3 linked regions of the Drosophila melanogaster genome follow. The gene in region 1 interacts genetically with each later gene. Each region holds a gene or a part of one and is shown in the gene's direction. Other genes may lie near its edges. The genes, in order: Tao, Fas2 and Schip1.

Evidence for each region.
Region 2: of Tao (region 1) and Fas2, changing one suppresses a phenotype caused by changing the other (phenotypic suppression), as found in Drosophila melanogaster (one study listed by BioGRID).
Region 3: of Tao (region 1) and Schip1, changing one suppresses a phenotype caused by changing the other (phenotypic suppression), as found in Drosophila melanogaster (one study listed by BioGRID).

Annotation. Positions count from the first base shown.
Region 1 is NC_004354.4:19,576,120-19,582,962, reverse strand, and holds the start of Tao (Tao), read left to right. Parts: upstream 1-3,162; 5' UTR 3,163-3,565; intron 3,566-4,460; exon of another isoform or gene 4,461-5,061; intron 5,062-5,368; 5' UTR 5,369-5,468; coding exon 5,469-5,698; intron 5,699-5,763; coding exon 5,764-6,268; intron 6,269-6,567; coding exon 6,568-6,843. Other genes in the region: CG14218 (uncharacterized protein), read left to right, coding at 1,304-1,967, 2,029-2,417. UniProt on the Drosophila melanogaster protein: Serine/threonine-protein kinase which regulates the Hippo/SWH (Sav/Wts/Hpo) signaling pathway, a signaling pathway that plays a pivotal role in organ size control and tumor suppression by restricting proliferation and promoting apoptosis.
Region 2 is NC_004354.4:4,201,951-4,208,480, reverse strand, and holds the start of Fas2 (fasciclin 2), read left to right. Parts: upstream 1-2,387; 5' UTR 2,388-2,581; intron 2,582-4,994; 5' UTR 4,995-5,220; coding exon 5,221-5,290; intron 5,291-6,530.
Region 3 is NT_033779.5:10,327,075-10,333,900, reverse strand, and holds Schip1 (schwannomin interacting protein 1), read left to right. Parts: upstream 1-2,784; 5' UTR 2,785-2,821; intron 2,822-3,308; 5' UTR 3,309-3,321; coding exon 3,322-3,909; intron 3,910-3,969; coding exon 3,970-4,426; intron 4,427-4,490; coding exon 4,491-4,579; intron 4,580-4,638; coding exon 4,639-4,705; intron 4,706-4,765; coding exon 4,766-5,097; intron 5,098-5,160; coding exon 5,161-5,429; intron 5,430-5,490; coding exon 5,491-5,554; 3' UTR 5,555-5,701; downstream 5,702-6,826. Other genes in the region: Cox10 (cytochrome c oxidase assembly factor 10), read right to left, coding at 930-1,162, 1,227-1,913, 1,971-2,154, 2,220-2,291; RnrL (ribonucleoside diphosphate reductase large subunit), read left to right, coding at 6,023-6,074, 6,126-6,214, 6,447-6,624, 6,683-6,826. UniProt on the Drosophila melanogaster protein: Regulator of the Hippo/SWH (Sav/Wts/Hpo) signaling pathway, a signaling pathway that plays a pivotal role in organ size control and tumor suppression by restricting proliferation and promoting apoptosis.

The DNA of each region.
Region 1 (6,843 bases):
AGCGAGAAGGAACGCCAAATGCAACCGAACCGACTATCAGATACCCAGCATTGCCAACGCGAAAGTTAGTGTTTTGAATGGTACTTTTATATATGTATATAAGTAACTATGACTTAAATTAGATTATGCATAGTTGCCTATTTGAAAAGACCTGAACAACCGGTACAGCAGTCAAAATCTAATTTACATGCAGAACTCAGGCAGCAAGTGTCAAAACTTTGGTCAAAACTTTCGGAAAATCGAAGGTCTAAACTGGTTTTTCACCCAATTCCGATGCGAATGCGAATTGCAAACGAGAGTTGCTAACCATTGTCCAGTTGCGCCAATGCTTGAAAAACCAAAAGCTGTTAATTACTCTGGAAATGATTAAATATATCTTGAAAATCAAATGCAACAGCCGCAGCCAAACCGAAATTGAAATTCATATTATTATGAGAGCAAATCGTGACAGCCCCTCTTTTTCGGCACAGTGGTACAAACTTGACGAATTAGTCAACGAATTAGTAAGCGCCCACTGTTCGTAAAATCTTTCCCAATCGAATACACCTATAATATTCAGATAATCTTCATTGTTGAACATTTGAACTGTTTTGAGGAATGAGATTTGACACAAGTTCAAGTGAAATTGGTAGTATGTACATACATACGTTTGTATATGGTATATAACCACTTGAGTTTACAATTATAAAACAAGCAATCTATGAATGATTTCCCTATCTTATGGGAAACTTATCTGTGAATTATTGATATTTTGTTAGGGTTTTAAAACATGTAGATTCGTACTCGACACAGAACAATCTAAATAGTATAGATACTTAATGAGCTTGCAGATAGTTAGTTCCCTTGTGTATATCAATCCCTTATGTTGGAGGCAGCTCTACTATATGGTATATGCTATGTGTATGTATGGTATATATATAGGTGGGTATATGGAGTTCTAGTCCCACGGTGCGTGTTGTTTAGCCTCTTAAAATGCACTCGCCGCTAAGCATTATGCATAGTTCGAGCTGCACTTACGATCTATAAACTGGCGCAAAAGTAGTGCAAAAGTAATTGTTGCCACGCACTGAACTCGTTGATAACCGCCGGCAGTCGGCGGGGTCTGCGATTACGAGATCCAGGCGGACGGTCGCAGCTAACCCGTCTAACTAGTTGACTTTGGGGGGGCACTTAATCCGCGACGCCCAGGCCCGCGTGGCACCACTCCGTTGGAGTACAGGCAGGCGACTCCAGCGCTGACCAGCGCCAGTTCTGATTGGAACGGCCTTTCGAGCGGTACACACATACTCTTTGATCCGTCAGGATGAGGATGTTACGTCTGCAGTTGATGGCCCTGCTGTTGGTGGGCCTGCTCCTGGCGCTGATCTCAGCCGATCCTGGGCCGCAGGACACGGAGGTGGCGCGAGAAAAGCGAGGCACCATCACCCTGGACTTTGGCCTGCTCCTGCGTAACCTGCTGCTCAAGAGCGCCCAGCTGTCCTCGGCTAAGGCCAATCTGGCGCGGACCACACGTCGTCCACCGACGACCACCACGACGACGCCGCCTCCGCCACCACCACCTGCTCCGATACGCATTCGTAAGCCCATCTGGCATCCGTTCTTCAGTTCCGGTTTCCTGCCCGGGGCCTTCGATGTGGACTACGCTGATCCTCCGGCACCACGACCTCCAGCGCCTGCGCCGCCCACTACACAGCCACCTAGACGCGTCCGACCGCAGGTGCGACCACGTCCACGCCCAACGACACTGGCACCGCCTCCTCCGCCGAACTATGACTACGACTATGACTATGATGCGCAGCCAGCGGCGCCAGCTGAACCTCCACCGCCTCCACCTCCTCCGCCGCCGCCCACAGCTCCGCCACGCCCAAGGCCACGGCCGCGCCCACGACCCCAGCAGCCCGATCCTCAACAGCGGCGTCCCGCCCAGCTGGGCGACCGCCTTATCTATCAGTACGCACAACCTACTGGTAAAATACGAAACCTCTTAACTAACTGCCGTACAATTGGGTTCTCTCCGACACTTTGCAGATACCTTCTTTAGGTCGCGAGCCGTGGCGGAGGCGACGGCGGCGGCTGACCCAGACAGCGGAGACTTAGTTGACTCCCAGGACCCGGACTCAGTTGCCGATCCGGATGCGGCTGCATTTCCTGTCACTGCAGATGGGCCTGACTCCCAACCTGCTTCTCCCCCACCAAGTGCTTCGCGATTTTTGGTCAACTACGAGAGCGATGACGACTTTGGGCAGCCGTTTGCTGGACAGCGGGCTCAGGATGCGGGTCAGGATGGGGGTCAGGATCAGGGTTCAGCGGGTGCTTCTGGTATTCCCGCATCATCCCAAGGCTACTTCCCGCCCCTCGAGCTTGGCAACACGAATCGCTTCCCAACTTTCAATCAGCAGCAGTACTTCTATAATTAAGCGGTAGAGTTTCTCATTTTTCCAACGTGGGCAATAAAATTAACTTCGCAGCTTGATATATTATGTGTATGTACATATGTATAGCTTATGTGTTGCAGTGTGCTTAAAATTGAACATAAACTATTTTAAATATAAGCATCCATTTTTTTGTATTCCCAGTTTGCATAGTTGTAAATAACATATCAAATAAAGTAATAATGTAAGTTCCCCGTAATTTATATTAACTAGGAGGGCGTTAAATAGCTAAGTAAATACCGTATCATGAAATTATCAGTATGTTTTCAAAAAGTGCGCCAAACTTGTTGCGATGAGTATCGGTATTTGACTTAGCGAACTGAGCTATTAAAAAGTTATTAAAAATTTGATACATATATGTGTTCTTCTAACATAGATACCCAACTGCGATTTCGTGAGCTGTAATTCTGCAGAATTCTGTATAAGTTAAATTATTGATTTTCAAACATTAAAAAAAAAAACTAATAATTCCAAAACGATAGCGTAACCACGGACATCACCACCCGGTGCACGTTCGATAGACTATCGATAGAGACCAAAAAACGAACCTTTTCTCTTAAAACTAATTGAATTGAGCGAATTCAACTATAAAAACGCCTCTGCAAGAGTTAACTTCGCAAACATATTGAAAAAAATAAGTTAATTTTAAATATATCGCCTAAAATCGGGATTTTTTAGTAAAAAGCGGTCAGTGGTAGTTTTTGGTTTCAAGCCGCTCGGCTGATCTGGTAACACTGTGTGCTGTGTGAACGTGAACTTTACGGAATTTAATTAGAGAAACGGGTGAAGAAAAGTTGCAAATAGACAATCGCTGCCAATTTTCCATGCCGTAGATGGGTGCATCTGCGACGTAACGATCCCCCGAATTCGGTGCTTGGCACTCGAGATGTGTAGCCAGTGCGGATTCGTGAACGCAACGCGTGTGCAGTGCAGGGCAATAGTTGCCATTCCCAGTAGCAGTATCACTACCACTACCAGTCCCATTCCGATTCCCGTTCCCAGTCGCAGCAGGGCCAATAACAGCAGCAGCGGTCGTAGGGAAAGCGACGTATGAAAGGGAAAAATGCATACAGATGCGAAAAGCGAGACCCAGTTGCGCCGATAAACAAGCAAGCACTAATTGATTGCCAAATGTAAGCCCTCGAACGCAGTGGAAAAAGTTCAAACGTTTTTTCTTTTTCGCCTCGCCAGATTTATGCATTTTCCACTGTCTCTCCATCCCTGTGTGCGTGTGTGCCTGTGTGTGTGAATGCGTATGCTCGTGTACGTGTGTGTATGTGCATACTGTTCTTTTTCGCGTTTGCGTTTTGGCCAATAAATGCGAATTTCTTGTGTGCCATCTGCCCATTGAATTAACAATGTGGTATTATCATTGATCCCACAAATTTCAATCAAATACAGCGCATTTGCGGGTTCTGAGTGCTACATCTGATTTCGGTGCGACGACTCCCTCAACGCGCGAGAACGGGATAGCACCAGTCGAACCATACGAATGTGTGTGTATTTGTCTGCTCCCCCGACGAGCGTGAGTGTGTGTGTGTGCAAGCAAAACAAAATTAGGCGATTCAAAACAGTTGCAAAATGCAGCGAAATAAGCCAATTTTAATCGCAACACATAGATCAACCATGGTAATCAGTCAATAAGTGGTCAGTCAACGAAGAAAACCAACAACTGGCGCAGCATCACCGCCTTCGTGCGTTCTTTTTCGGCTCCTTCGGTGTGTGCCTAGTCCGCACCCAAGGAAAAGCCAACCCAACTGAAAATCAATTCGAATCGCAGAACTCTTTGGTATTCTACTACAATTCCCTGTGACGGAGCGCCACAGCACAGTGCAAGCCACGGAAAAGGCACGAATTGAATTGAATTTGTGTCGCCCGAAATGCAAAACAACAAGCAATCCCACCGCACATATACATATAGAGCGCGCGCGTGAGTGTGTGTGAGCGACATGGCTGCTCTTTGTGCAATAGTGTGGTGGCTATGAAAAATAGGCGTGTTTCTGTTTCGCGTCGCAGGCAAAGAATTGCAGTCGCCGCACCACAGCGGACTAATTGTATTGAGAATTTTTGCCAGGCGGCGATAGGCGAAAGCCGGAGCTCCGACGGGGGCCAAAATCCGCGTCTTTAGCCGGCGGATATCCGCAGACGCCCGCAAAACGCCTCCGCATGCACAGACATGCATACTCCAATGTATGCATGTGTGTGTGTGTATTTGGATTCGCAACGGCGATAAATGCACCCCTTTGGTGCCGTTACTCCTTGGCAGCTCGCGTGTGTTTGTGTGTCAGTCGTAACGACCTTTGATTACCCTGCAGCACGTGTGCATACCCTACACCTAGCTAGTTAGTCCAGCTTGACCACAAATACCGCCCTACTGCACGTGCGCATCCACTCCACTCATTACTTGTTCGAAATCCAAGCAAATGAACTTAACGGCGTTAGTCATACCGACTGCCAAATGCCCTAGACCACTTACACCCCAGCTGTCGTAATCTGGCCAAAAAGCAGCTGACAAGTTGGTAACAAGCTGAGGAAAATAGCCTGGCCATAAAAGACGGTGCCAACAGTGAATATATTTGCGATAAGGCCGTGCTGCGTGCGGAATTCGGAGTTTTGAATGATTCGTACAGTATGTGCGAGCATGAATCACTTGATCGATTTGATGATAGTCGGCTTTTAGCTGTTCCCATCCGTCCGTCCGTTTGACCGTCTCCCCATGCAAATGCTGACCAAAGCACAGTGCCCACTGTCCACTGGCCCAGCCATTCCCGCTACGCCCCGTGCCGCCCAATTCAATTGGTCCGCAGTCTCAGCGTTTCAGCCTGAAATCCCCCAAAAATGTCGACCCTTTGAACATGACTAAGTGACTGGCGCAGGCTGTGAATGTGACTGACTAACCGGAATCGCCTTTTTTTCGCCCCACCCGATCCGCACAGAACTTCAAGACAGCAGAGTAGCCAGCTGGAGCTGCAAGCTGCGAGGAGAAGCACGCAGGTCGACCACTGAGAGAGCTGGGCTAGAGCATGAAAGACAGCCATGCCTTCGGCACGACCTGGTAGTCTCAAGGATCCGGAAATAGCCGACCTATTCAACAAGCATGACCCGGAGAAAATCTTCGAGGACCTGCGCGAAATCGGCCATGGGTCTTTCGGCGCGGTCTATTATGCGCGATGCAACCTCACCAGGGAGATCGTGGCCATCAAAAAGATGTCGTACACCGGCAAGCAGAGCCAGGAGAAGTGGCAGGATATTCTCAAAGAGATACGGTGAGCACTGGCTGACACTTGCGTTCGCCCGAGTGACTTCTAATCAATTTATGTGTACACAACAGCTTCCTTCGCCAATTGAACCACCCGAACACCATAGAATACAAGGGATGCTATTTGCGCGAATCAACCGCCTGGCTGGTGATGGAGTACTGCGTGGGCTCCGCCTCGGACATCATCGAGGTGCACAAGAAGCCGCTGCACGAGGACGAGATCGCCGCCATCTGTCTGGGCGTGCTCAGTGGGTTGAGCTATCTGCACTCGCTGGGCCGCATCCACCGTGACATCAAGGCGGGCAACATCCTGCTCACGGACAACGGCGTCGTCAAGCTGGCCGATTTCGGTAGCGCTGCCATCAAGTGTCCGGCCAACAGTTTTGTCGGCACGCCCTATTGGATGGCGCCCGAGGTGATCCTGGCCATGGACGAGGGCCAATACGACGGCAAGGTGGACGTGTGGTCGCTGGGCATCACCTGCATCGAACTGGCAGAGCGCAAGCCTCCCTACTTTAACATGAACGCCATGTCGGCGCTCTACCACATTGCGCAGAATGAGTCGCCGACTCTTCCGGTGAGTAGCAATCGAAGTTTTAATTTCTTGGTAGGAGTCTGTTTTGATAGCAAAACTGAAGTATGCCAATGTATTTATTTACGTATCGCTCTCATGTGTCCCTAGTGTTATTGTTTTATTTCCCACTTTTGGGGCTGGGGCAAGTTATATTTTACCCATTTGTATAGTAGAGCCTCCAGATTCTGCTTAAAAAAGTGTTTATGATTCAGAACTTTGTAAAGCAATTTTAAAGTAAACTAAGTAAGTGCAATTTGAATGTTATAAACAATTATCAAACCTATTCGATTTCAACCCGACAGAAGAACGACTGGTCGGATGCGTTTTGCAGCTTTGTTGAACTGTGCCTCAAGAAGATGCCAGCAGAGCGACCCTCGTCGGCCAAGCTGTTGACCCACGCCTACGTGACCCGACCGCGTTCCGACACCGTGCTGCTGGAGCTGATCGCGCGCACCAAGTCAGCGGTGCGCGAGCTGGACAACCTCAATTACCGCAAGATGAAGAAGATACTCATGGTGGACACCTGCGAGACGGAGAGCGCCGTGGGCGACACCGACGACCAACAGGACGACCATGCC
Region 2 (6,530 bases), about 15 Mb from region 1:
TTATTGGGCATCCGACGTTAGCACCTCCGGCCCTTGGTCCATATTTGTATGTAAGTGCCGCAGTGTATCTATAGATATGCACTTTGTATCTGTACCCGACATTTGTGCTTTGTGAGTTCGATTTGAAAACATAATTCATCATTTTGGCCGCTCAATGGCTGTCGTTCCTGTGGACTAATGATTCCCAGCTTAAGTTTCTGGCCAAGAACGAGATTGGAATTGAGTTTTGGTTCTTCGGTGCGGACAAAACCTGTCAGAAATGGTGCGGATTGCGCGGGGAGCTCTTCGTATCTAATTGCTTATAGAGTTATTAAACATTTTCTAATGATCTCGGGCTGCGGTTACCGTCATTTGAGAACCTATTCTCGATGCACCACCAAAAAATGCAGGTGTTCAACAAAAAAAAAAAAAAAAAAAAAAAACGAACTCAATCCGGGCTACAAATTGGAACAGAATTGCCGAGATAGCTGGAGATTGATTCGAGGACCACCCATCCGAAAACTAAATCGACGTCTTCATTTGTCTGGCTGGCTGGCTTCAAATCAGGTAGCAGATAGTCGGATTTCGGGGTCACAGGTCAGGCGAAACCATTTCAAGTAGGCTTGAACAACATATAAACTATCGCCATTGTTCACTGGTTCCCATAATTGTTAAATAATTGCAGTTCTCGGCGGGAAATGGGCATATTTCCTTTGTTTTTACATCAGATTACTGGTGCCAAGACCAAAGATTCTTAAAATAATTACTTATTTATTTATATTTATGTTCTAATTTCTTTATATTACATTCTTGCTTTTTAAATCGCCAATACATTTAAATGCAATCGTGTTAAATCCTATTTGTTGATAGCCAAAATGTTCACATCGTTGGCACATCATGGGTCAAAGGTCGAACGCATTAGCAAATTAAGCGTGAAGAACGATTGTCACCATAGTTCCCACAGCCAGCCGATCAATTCAATATTCATCTGTGAAAAGTTCGGAAAATTCGGCCGGCTGTGAAATAAAATTAACGCACTCCAAATCGGGCGAATCGGGCGTATCGGGTTTTTGTTTTGTGTGTGGGAGATAGAGGAAGATTCCGAGCAATAAATAAAGCGCAGCGAAAGTGCGACATCAACGACAAAATAACAATCCTATAAATCACTTATTGGTGATTCTGGCGGGGGAGGGGTGTCGCTGGTATATAGATATATGTAGGTACATATATCCCCTCTGTATACGGTGATAAATTGCTCCGTCACACAAACGACAAACGAAACAAAACAACAATGATAACTGCAGAATACATCGCATTGGCATCTATACGCAATTTCATTTAGTAAATTGCACACAGCGCATTCAAACGTAACTGCGATTTTTTTTTTTGTTTCCACTTAACCGGGGAAAATCACCCCCCTCGTCACGATTTTTCCGCAGGCTGGTTTAATTGACAGCGCGGCAATTGAAAATAAAAGAAGTTTTTGTTTGGAATCGAATCTCGATGTTGCGCGGGCAACAAGTGGCCGTCTCCGAAATATCCGAAATGTTGCCAGCCGGAAAATTCGTCTTGCATACCCGCCCGATTTTCCCCCCAGCATTCGTCGGTTACTTCGACAGCAAGATCGTAAAATGCTGTGCCGAAAAATAAGACGTTAAACTTTGGTTTTCCTCATTTCGAAATGTTGCAAGAGGTTTCGGCAACATGCTGCTAACTTCGAAGGATGTTTAGATAGTGTTCCCGAATATTCTTACAAAACTTATCGAAGTGTGAGATTTTCATCTTGCATATCAATCGGAAAAACCTTAGCTAGACATCATCTCCTCGCGATAGCACACTTTGCGTAATATATGTACATACGTGTAGCTCTTTTAAATGTGCCCCCGAATAAAGTAGTTACATTTTTAATGCTTCGTTCTGAAAGTTTGTTGACAAAGCTCCACAAAGATTGGGCAACAAAAACGTGTCAAAAAACCTGACACCAGTCGCTCGTAAAAGTGACGAAATGGGGCTTAAGTGCCACCGCCCAGTTTCTCCGCCCATTGTCGTTTGACCTTGCTGACACTCGAGAAGAAAAGAGCTGAATTCTTCGCCGCCTAACGGTAGACACTCTCCATCTCTTTTAGTCTCCACTGAAAACATATTTGGCCAATAACTGATATTAATATTCCTGTGCACTTATTACGTTATTTATGTAAATTAATTTCATTTTAAAAGAGCTCAGATTTTCGGTTTTATAAATTGCTATTATCTATGCACTTTACTTCTTAAACTTCTACCATCTCCCTTGCTTGATTACTTTCGGTTGGCAACATGCTGCGTCGCATCGGCTGGCAACATTTGGGGTTGCCAGATCTTGTGGCGCGGCAATAGCTGTGGTATTTTGCGGCGGCAGCGCTAGCGGTGCTTTCAGTTACGTTTCGACGGCCAACGCGTCGAGTGCTCTGCTTGCTGAGAGAAAGAAAAACACAAATAGAGACAACAGAAGTGGTTCTTCTTCTTCATACTCGCATTCTCTCGCGCTCTCTTCACCGTATGTGTTAACGGTCGTGGCGCGTCGTGTGCGTGTGTGTTAGTGTGCCAGTTAAACAATGAGAAATTGGTAATAATAAATAATAATAATAACTGCTCATAACAGCCATTATTTGGCCGTGCATGAGAAGAACTCAAAAAACATGTCGAGACAGCTCCACAAAAACCAAAAATAAACTGGCGGCATTCTTGTACATATTTTTTTTTTCAAAACTTTTTTTTTAGCGTGTGACAAAAAATACACAAATGTATCTCTCTCGCTCTGCTGAGTCTATGCTGTTTTGTTGTTTTAGCCCAAGATTCCAATGAGTCACGTGCAAAAGTTATTTCAATGAAAACCTCCATGAAAACCCTTTGAAAACTCACCCAATAATCGAGTTGGAAAAGTGCATACAACAAATATGAAAAAAAAGAGCAACATCACCTGAAAAGCAAGAAAAATAAAACGGAAAACAGGTTTTTGGGCCCGCTTCGCTGCCAACTTTATTGTTGTTACTACCAACAGTGTGCACTGGAAATTGACTCACGCTTGCAGCTGGCAAATAGGAAATATGAAACATACAAAAAAGAAACACGTTAAGAATTAGGAAAAGCCGGGCAAATTGATTCCACAACTAATCTGGAATGTTAACCACAGAACAAAAAAAAAAAAAAATAGAAAAGAATAGATTCTCAAATTTCACGACCAATTTCAGTCGGTTTCGTTTTTCCTTTGTCTGTCAAAATTGCCTTTATGTCGCATATCAAAAAGTTTATTTCGTTTGCTGCGGCTTTCTGCAAAAGTTTTAATGTGATTAAAAATATTTGTTTAAACTGTTAACAAGTCGGAATAAACTCAAAGTTGGTAAATTAACTTCATCGACTTCATAGAGTGCTTATTTGAAAACTTTTGCCGCTTTACTTTTGGCAGTTTTTCGAACAAGATGTTAGTTTCGCATTAATAAATTAGTTTATTGCGTTTTATCAAACCTAACCGAGCCATATTTTAATTAAGACTACAAAATCCTATTGAGTTCGTCCAATTCTAGGCAATCAAAACGGCAGATGTAATTACAATTTGTCGGTCGCGCCGAAAGTCAAAATCAAATCATTTGACAGCATTAATAATTCACGAATATCAAGTGGAAAACTTCTAAACTTTGTGCAACTTGAACAGATTCACAAAAACTCTACCGTTGCCAGAACTTCCCCTCTGGCCAAGTCTCTCATTATAATTAGCGTTTTCGAAACTTTATGAATATTTAAAACTGCTTCGCGGGTATTTTGTAACAATGTCTCAATTTGCCAAAAGCAAGAATGAAGCGAGATGAAAGCGAAATATTCTCAAGAATATTTCGCGTGCCGCAGACACACATACGCGCGGTTCCTATGAAAAAAAAAGTCAAGGCCTGCCCTAAATATCGATTATCCAGTAACTGTAATAACCGTAAGCCAAATGAGGGGGTGCGGTGGGAAAGTTCCGCTGTGCAAAGTGGGCGGGATTAGTGGCAAGACGAGCTCGCGAGGAAGTAACTACAGTTTTCCCTCGCCTGCATGCAAATATTTTTTGTTGCTAGGACTGTTATGAGTTTTCAAAAAAAAAAAAAAAAGAGCACTGCTTGCAAGGCGTCACTGTAAATGAAAATTAACTTTTATTGATCACTTATTCTACCTTTATTATTAGTCATTGCATTGAAGTCACGTTCAATTCTATAACTCAACCGTTTTTTATTTGGTTTACGATATTCTCTAAAGCGAGCGATAACTGTACTTTAGAACTTGTTGCAATTCAAGGACACTCAGCATAGGTGCAACTTCAGTAGACATAGAGAGAGAGAGAAGGCGAAAGAGAGCGAGAGAGACAAAGCTTGAGTCATGAATTATTGGAGAGACGCACGAACTTATGTGCCGATAAGAAATATACATTTCGCTCTCGAACCCAAAAGATAACGATCTACTGAGAACACAAACTTATAGATAAAATTCAGCTTAAGCAATCCTCTCCTACCTTATCCAAAGCCCCCCTTCCCTCCCTTACCCCTTGTGTCTGTGTTGCTCCTACCATATTTCCCCTGCACTACGTGTTTCGACTGCCGAGAGCACCGTAATTTCCGTTACAAAAACTGGCCAACATGTGCGAAGTCGGCGGCGCAGCAAGTTTTATTTTCTTCGTTTTCCTTTCTCATTTTTTTTCTTCTTCGCTGCCGCCGCCGATTTTAGAGAATGCAAAAGAGACAAGGCACACACGCACACAACATCGGCTCGCGCTGTCTCGCTTGCACTGCCTTCTTCCTCTTCTCCTCGCCCATAAATGCCAACATTTGCCATTTGAAGCTAAAATGCTAAAGTTATGACAAATATCAAATGCAGATGAACTTCTAAGGCCCAATCTGACTAACCACAAAAGCCAGTTACCATGAATTTAAACTAAAAAAAAACCCTATCTATATTACTATTAAAAGCTTAGCTAATTCATCTTTCTTTCATTATCAATATACTTTCAGATTCACACACCGAAACAGACAAAAGAAAAAAAAACAAAAGACACCGAACGCAAAGTGTTAATCAGAATAGAATAATTTGTGCAATCACGAGCAGCGAAAACAAACTGAAATTTTTTAAACATTTTTTTCGTGTGCAACCGTAAACAAACCAAAGAAGTTAAAACGAGAGCTATTTGCGAGCGGGGAAAACTAGAAAACTACTACAACTGCAAAAACAGCGATAAAAATGGGTGAATTGCCGCCAAATTCAGTCGGCGTCTTTTTGGCGCTGCTCCTCTGCAGCTGCTCTTTAATAGGTGAGTACGGGTATAAAAACGCTCCCCGAATTCCCAATATGTGCTTTTCAATTTGGTATTATAATTAGAAATAGAACCCAAACGCACGAATTGTGCTAAAGTCGAAAATTTATGGCCGCTTCTCCTTTGAAAAGAAAAAACTAAGCCGGAGAAATAGAATTAACACCTTTAATCTCAATAGTTGTGTCACATCATCACCTTTGTGATGCCCTAAATTTTCCACCTGGCTGGTAACTATCATTCCAAAAAATTGACATATCATTAGCTTAGTTGGCAATATACCAATGTAACCAAACGGCAAGCGTTTGTATTATAAAGCCACAATTATGGCTAACCAGAGGTCTTTTGACTTAGCTTAAATCCGCTTATCAGTCGAGAGGGTCATATCAAATCGTTGTTGTTTCCCTATATGATAGATAGCACAAGATTTAGGCAGACAAATTACCTGAGCACTTGCACTTATGTACCTGATGATAGGCGACCCTGAAACGAACGCTAAGCAAATAGAGACCTAAGGAAATATAAGAAAATAACATCCCACGAAAACTAAAATCATCTTTTACCTTATCGCAATCTCCCAGAAGAGACTAGAGTCAATATTTACTTTACCTTAGAGCAGACCATATCCGTGGCTGGTCAAATATCGTAAATTTTTCAGTTAACATGAGGGAATTACAATCGCAGATACTCCTAAAATTCCGGCACCTGACTTTGGAGCCGTAAAATTGGGACAAACAAACGCTGATAACTATTGCGCAAGAGTTGCCTGTTAAATAATAAATAAGACTTGGTTGCCATGATTCTTTGGATTTTGGGAACATTTCCTGAAATGAGTAAAGAAACTATTGAAAATAATCAGCTAATTAGGCCTAAGACCAAAAATTAGAAAGAAAAAAAACAAGGTGCAAACACAGCTTATATAATTATTAACTGATTAACAAATGATGGACCAAAAGATAGAACATAGAAACGCAGATTGAAATTAGCTTTAAACCCATTAAACCGGACTGACTAGCAGCAAATGTGAAGTTAGTTATATCGACTGGGAAGATTCATAACTCAGACAGAGTTTGTTGCGTCGCAAACTTCTTGGCAAAGTTGGTAAAGTCAAGAAGAGTCCAGCGTCGACTTCCCAGCAATTACCGCATCCGGTTTGGACCACAAAAGCTGATGCTGGCGGAGAATTTCTCAGCGAGGCCTCTTAAAATGTTCTAATACCGCAGAAAGTCGAATTTAATTA
Region 3 (6,826 bases), on another chromosome or scaffold:
GGTTCGCCACAGATTTTTCGCTCATTTGATCTAGTTTCCCGTTCAAATTACCAAACGAGGGCTCCAGCGATAGTCGCGTTAGCTGCATGATTCATCTCGGCATCGCGATAAATCAGTGATTATGCTAATGTGCTTCTGTGATAAAACATCAAGGCTATTGCAACACAATACAAAATATTGTTCTTTTCATTTGTAAGACCAACGCATACAGCAGAGGAACCAGTGAAATATACTGAAATAGGGGCAACTTTTTGGTATTTCTGTTATCGATAACGTACAGCTATACTCATTTTTAGCTAGAAATTTTTGACTATTTATCTGACGGATTTTACTATTATTATTAAAATTATTTCAATTGCGGAATATAGTTCCTAAAATAGCTAGAATACTTATCCCTAGGAAATGCGCATGTCGTTTTTTAATCTTGGAAAAAAAACCCTCCAAAGGAATAAACTCTGGAATCTGAAGAAGAGATGCCTTACAATGCCTTAAATAATACGTTCGATTCGATTGCTACAATTTATCAAAATAAAATAGATTTAAATTCCTTATTTTCAACAACCGATGAAACAACGGGAAACGGGATTACTTCCACTAACAATTTTTACCGTTTCCGTGCTTTTTTTGAAACAAGTGCTCAAAGAACAATATAATAAGGTCATACTTAGAATCTTGCAATTTAAATTACTGTACGGCTTAAGATTCCATGCCAAATTGTATATTTTAAATTTATTTGTATTCAGCGCCGGATTGGTTACACCGCATATTTTTCAAGGATGTCGTGTCATTTATTAGGCGCAACATATATTTGCCGCACAGGGGTACGTGTTTCCTTAATATTAAATGACTGTTTTTACAAGTTGCAGAACACTAAGTATATTTAAATTTCACACGATACTTAACATTTTATCAAATTAATGTTAATATTTCTATCTGGGTCCTTCGGCTACGGCGACGGGCAGGACATTACCAAGACTGCTAGCAGAATGCTTTATCGCACTGTACGTGGACTCCTTTTTGTTCTCCTCACCGGCGGGTTTGCTGAAATACCATTCCTTCTTATTGGTCAGAAATAGCAGCATCAGGGCGGGCAGGTGTATCAGTGAAAATCGGAACAGCTTCCGCGAGCTCCCACTATCTGACTTTTCATGAAACTTGTACGCTGCAAGCAAACAGAACGTATTAGACATAACATATAGGATTCCATGGTTAATGAGTATATTTACCAAGGTAGGCGAAGTACGCGTTCAGAGGTAGTGTTTCCAAGGCAAACCAGTAGTTCGTGACGTCCAGTACGGGTGCCATGGCTGAAAGTCCGACAATAGCCACCGAATATCGCAGCGCAGTGCGGCGACAAAGACCCGGATTGGTAACGGCCATCATTCGGTAGCCGGCACGTGAATAATCCGGCCGGAGGTTCCACGACAGAGCGTTGAAGTGCGGGAACTGCCACGCGTACAGCACTCCGGCTAGGATCATGGCGCCGGCGTCCAGGGTGGCTGCACAACCAGCCCATCCCATCAGCGGAGGAATGGCGCCCACTATCGATCCCACCCAGGTATTGACTATGCTGATACGCTTCATCGGTGTGTATATCGTGGTGTAGAGGAACAGGTTACCCGCTCCCAGCGCCGCCGTCAATCCATTTACTCCGAAATACAGCATACTTAAGCCGGCAGTTGCCGACACCGCGGCGAAGGTAACTGCATGCAGTGGTGTCATTTGCCCCGTGACGAGCACCCGGTTCTTTGTCCTCGACATCTGCGAATCGAAAGGAACTTCGTGATACTGATTAATGGCATTCGCCGCAGCCGAAACGAGTCCTGTGCCCAGGGTGCACATCGCAAACGTTGTGGGATCGAAAGCAGCTGGCGCCATGGCATAGCCGCCCATCGTTGTAATGACCACCAGCGCTGCAACGAAAGACAACTATGGTCGATGCTTGGCCAATGTTTAACCATCTCGCTTACATGTCAGCCGGAACTTGGATAGCTTCTTGTACTGGCTAAGAGTTTTTCCGGGCATGGTGTACGGACTAGGCATCCAGGTAATTTGACTATCGGGTAAATGCTGGACCTTTCCCGCCTGGGATACTGGCGACGCTGTAGTGACACCTTTGTCATCTTGGGAAGCTATCGTTGCTGCAGTGGAGTACTGAAAATTATTGGAAAGTTATAGTTTGTTATAGTGGTTTGTTGCGTAATGGCCAAGAACCTCACCCGAATGAGCACCAAATCAACCGGCGTTCTTAGCTGGGATTGCACCCGCCGAATTCCTTTGAATAATATCATTATTATTCACTTATTAGTTAGGTCTACGGTTATTTCATTTTTCTAGTTGTGTTTGGATTTCTATTACTTTTATATACAATGTTATGGTTTTTTAAATCACATTGTGCTTAAGTGTTACCATATCTCAAAATGAGAAAAATACTGAGTGCAAAAAATTTAATCAGAGGTATTCATAAATTGTTGGGATTGGGATTTTTTAAGAACTTTGAAAAAAACATAGCAAAAAGTTTTAAGCCTATTCCTTAAATAATAATAATATAAGTTTACATTAAAAGAAAATTTTGTGCCATGGTAAAACTCAGAGACATTTTCAGTTTCGATTTTTAAGTTGTTTTCTCAGTTTTTGCATATAAAAAAATAATAAATAATTAATAAATTTTTTGTTCCTTAGTAAATTAAATTATTTGTAATAATATTTAGTATTGTTAACAACACTATATACCAAGATTTGCGCATGCGTCAAACGTGTAATTTGCTTTATATGTGTGGGAGTAATTTTTACATCTGAATGCAGGAAGGCCGAAGTCCTTGTAAGTCTTCATTGATTCAATAATTAACATTTTAAACAAACGGAATACATTTTAGTTGTTAACAGTCGAAACAATCGTTTAAATAAAGCAAATACAAGAAATTATAATTGCAAGTAACTTTGACTATCTTCAGATATTTCTGTTACAAAAATTTGCACCTACACCAACTTTTTTCGGCTTGATTCTTGTTTCTCGATTTTAAGAATATACAAAATGTCAGTTCATTCATGTGTTGTTAAGGACAATGTAACATCTAAACACATATGAAGTTAAATACCAAATTGACTCTTAAAGTAATTTATAAATACGATAATGAGTTGAACTAAAGAAAATAGTGGAGTGGAGATAGTGGTGTCCTTTAGCAAGTAAAAGGAAATAAGAAAAAAACCATTTTATTGCTTTTACTATGTTTTAATTATGTTATGTTATTAATACACTGTAGTTGTAATCAATATTTAAGTCATCTAAACTTTTTTATTTCTTCTAGACAACTTATTCCAATGCCCATGCCAAGAATGGATATCTATATAACAAAGGGCATCACCAACCCCAACTACCCAGGATTTCAAAAGTTCGCGCATACCCTTTCCGATGACTACATAGAGTACTCCGACATGGAGTGCAATGAAAGCGATCTAACCGACAGCGATAGAGAAGATGACCCAACGTTCCCAAGTAAGATGGCCAAGGAATCGGGCTCGGAAACCTTTAAGAATGGCCAAGATTCGATTTTAAGTAACTGCGACAATGGAAACACATATATATCAGAAGAGGAAAGCGTGAACCGATCGGAAAACATTCCGGATATTGTAAATGAAAACTATAGTGCAACGTCGGAAAACTCCAAGCGAGCTTTGCAAAAACCTGACCTTATCTACAATCTAAGCCAGAATTATACGACCAATCCTGAGTTTCCATCCTGGTCATGTACAATTAATTCGAAATACGAAGGGCAGTTGCAAGGCCAAAGTCCTATCGATATTGTTGGTGATTTTGGCGGAGAAGTGGAACGTGAATTCGAGCTACTTCTCACTGGATATAAAAACAAGAAGGAAGCGGATGAGTTGAAGGGATCAAATTTAGATAAGGTATGTAGTTAGTTAAAATAAAAGAGATCAGGCACGTAAAAGCATAATTGTACCTTGCAGATTTGCGATGCAGAACTATCAAATGGAACGGAGGCTCTTAAGCAAACATCCTCGACGCGATTGTCCGGGAATAGTACTCGAAAAAATAAAAAGAAGAACACACCGTACGGACATCAGATCGTGAAAACGAAGCATCCAAAGCCGTCTCATGACGAACGTCAATTGCCACCGGACACGTTCGACTACAAAACGTATAGCCAACGAAAATATATCATTTGTGATGCTGACCAATACTCGTCCGTTCCGGAAAAGAACAAAAACGATAGTCCGAACCTAAATCAGGCTGAAATACCCAACATGAGCAGCTTGGAAATCGGTGGAAGTGGAAGCCAGCAGAATCTGGACGAGGACAATAACAAGGTGGCTAGTCGGAAGTACTCAAATCAATCGCGCTGGTCTCAGTACTTGGAAGATCCCATCAAGTACTCCAAAGATCCATGCTCCACCATGGTTTTAGGTAATTTCAAATATGAATTAATCGTTATAGATTCTTGAGTATATTAATATTTAAATTTTTATAGAACAATTTGATGCGTACAAGATTGCAAACGATATGGATGTAGAAACATTGCAAAACCATTATAAAAAGGTTAAACAGATAGAGAAAAAGGTAGGTACAATATAATCGGAATAATAATATCATTTATTAAATATATATTCCAATTACAGCGGCGATTCAATCGAGATGAGATACGCAAGAGATTGGCAATCGGAGATAAAGATTCTTTAAATAATGGTAAGACCAAAGATATTCTTTCATTACTATATTTTCTTAAATATTATATTTTATATTTAGACATTAAGAAGGAGGAATTTCTAACCGGATCCGATAATGAAAGTTATAGCTCCGACTCTGAGACGTGTCCAAAACTATCAAGTGGAGTACTTCGCAAGCAATCTGAATTCTGTGAAACGAAACGCAATAAGGAATTTGAAAACGATAAAATCTTTCAAAAGAACCAAATCAACCAAGATAAAAGCATGAATCATATGAATGGCAATCCCATTGGTACAACAGATTATCCGTCGGATGAAAACTTGTTTTTCTTTGCGAATCAATCAAAACTTCAAATAGAGGTTAGAATAGCACTAGCTCAATCGAAGGAAATAGCTCAGATGAAAGTAAAGGTGTGTTTTCCACAGGATTTATTTATTTTTTATTCAAATGTAATTGTAATTATCTATTTGTAGGCAAGGAAACATGGCGTAACTCCCATTGTGGACGTAATTCGATCAATGCTGTGTGATGTTGGCATCAAAATGAACTCCAACCATCGATGGATTTCGAGGCAGCTGCTCACTGGAATCCAAGTTCCGACTCTCCAGCTATTGGTCAACAATCTCCAGGAATATATTGAAAACCTAAACGTCACACTACTGGAGAGCCTTAAGGAGCGAGACGATTTGAATTCGGACCAAGATGATATATTACACGATCTCGAAAAAATAAATAACTTTTTGTATGTATACAAATATTATCTTATTTTAACTGTGTGTATTAATGTTAATATTTCTTTCTAGTGTTTTCCAACAGCAATCTGGACAGCAAGTCAATAAAATAGTTAGACACGGCCATTTAGATTAAACACTTGAAATTGCATATTTTATTAACAACTTGTTTACAAATATTATAATCTCTTGTATAATTGATAACAATCTACCGAGACCGTTTATAAAACACATACTCAAATGTTCTTCAAACACTGTTATATTTATGTAATTATATAAAGCTAAATAAATAAAAAATACAACTAATTATTTATATTAACACTAAACTAAATTTGTTTTTATAAAACACCTGTGTATTGATACAAGCAGTTATTTATATATTTATTTGATTATCTAAAATGATATATTTTTTAAGAATATGATATAAATGTGAGTGGAACGGTTCGAAATAATTTTGTTTCTTGATCGTTTCAAAGTTAGGCGTTTTGAAAGTGCGGCATTTGATCAACATGTCGCACGGTAACACTAATAATGACTTTAATTTGGCGCCTTTTTGTGCTTGCAACAATCAATTTGCCGCCTCTTGTGAAATATAGCAGTCAAGATGTTGAAGAACAAGTCCATGAAAACCTCAAAGTTATATGTTATTAAGAGAGGTGGGTTACAATTCCTTGTCGCTATGACTGTTCTTAATATATTTATTTCAGATGGCAGGCAGGAGGAGGTGCACTTCGATAAAATAACCTCAAGAATCCAGAAGCTTTGCTACAACTTGAACATGGATTTTGTTGATCCTGTAAGTTTGTTTCTATTGTTTAAAGGTGCTCATCACACAGGTTGCACTCGAACCTAGTAAGTATGATGCGTATTTATATGTGATGGGGTTTGATTTTATCTGCAACAGAATGTGCGAGCGCCCCTGGTGAAACTCATGTGGGAGTCCCAAGATATACAAACCATTTGTAATAAGTTATCAGCAGATTATTTGGGAAGTTTTCCTGATGTGTTATTATGCTTTATCTTTATAGGTTACTATCACCCTGCAAGTCATCAATGGTCTGTACTGCGGCGTGACCACCCAGGAGCTGGACAACTTGGCAGCAGAAATCGCAGCTGGATTAACATGCAATCATCCCGACTACGCCATCCTGGCTGCTCGCATTGCAGTGTCCAATTTGCACAAGGAAACCAAGAAGGCTTTTTCTGGTAAGTTCATAGCTTGTATTCTGAGTTCTTCGGTTAATCCAATCATGATTCTTATTAGACGTCTTCGAGGATCTGTATAATCATGTAAACAAGGAGACGAATCAAAAAGTGCCCTTGGTATCCGAGTTTCACTACAATGTGGTTAAGAAGAACGCCACACGGCTGAACTCGTCCATAATCTATGATCGTGACTTTGGCTATA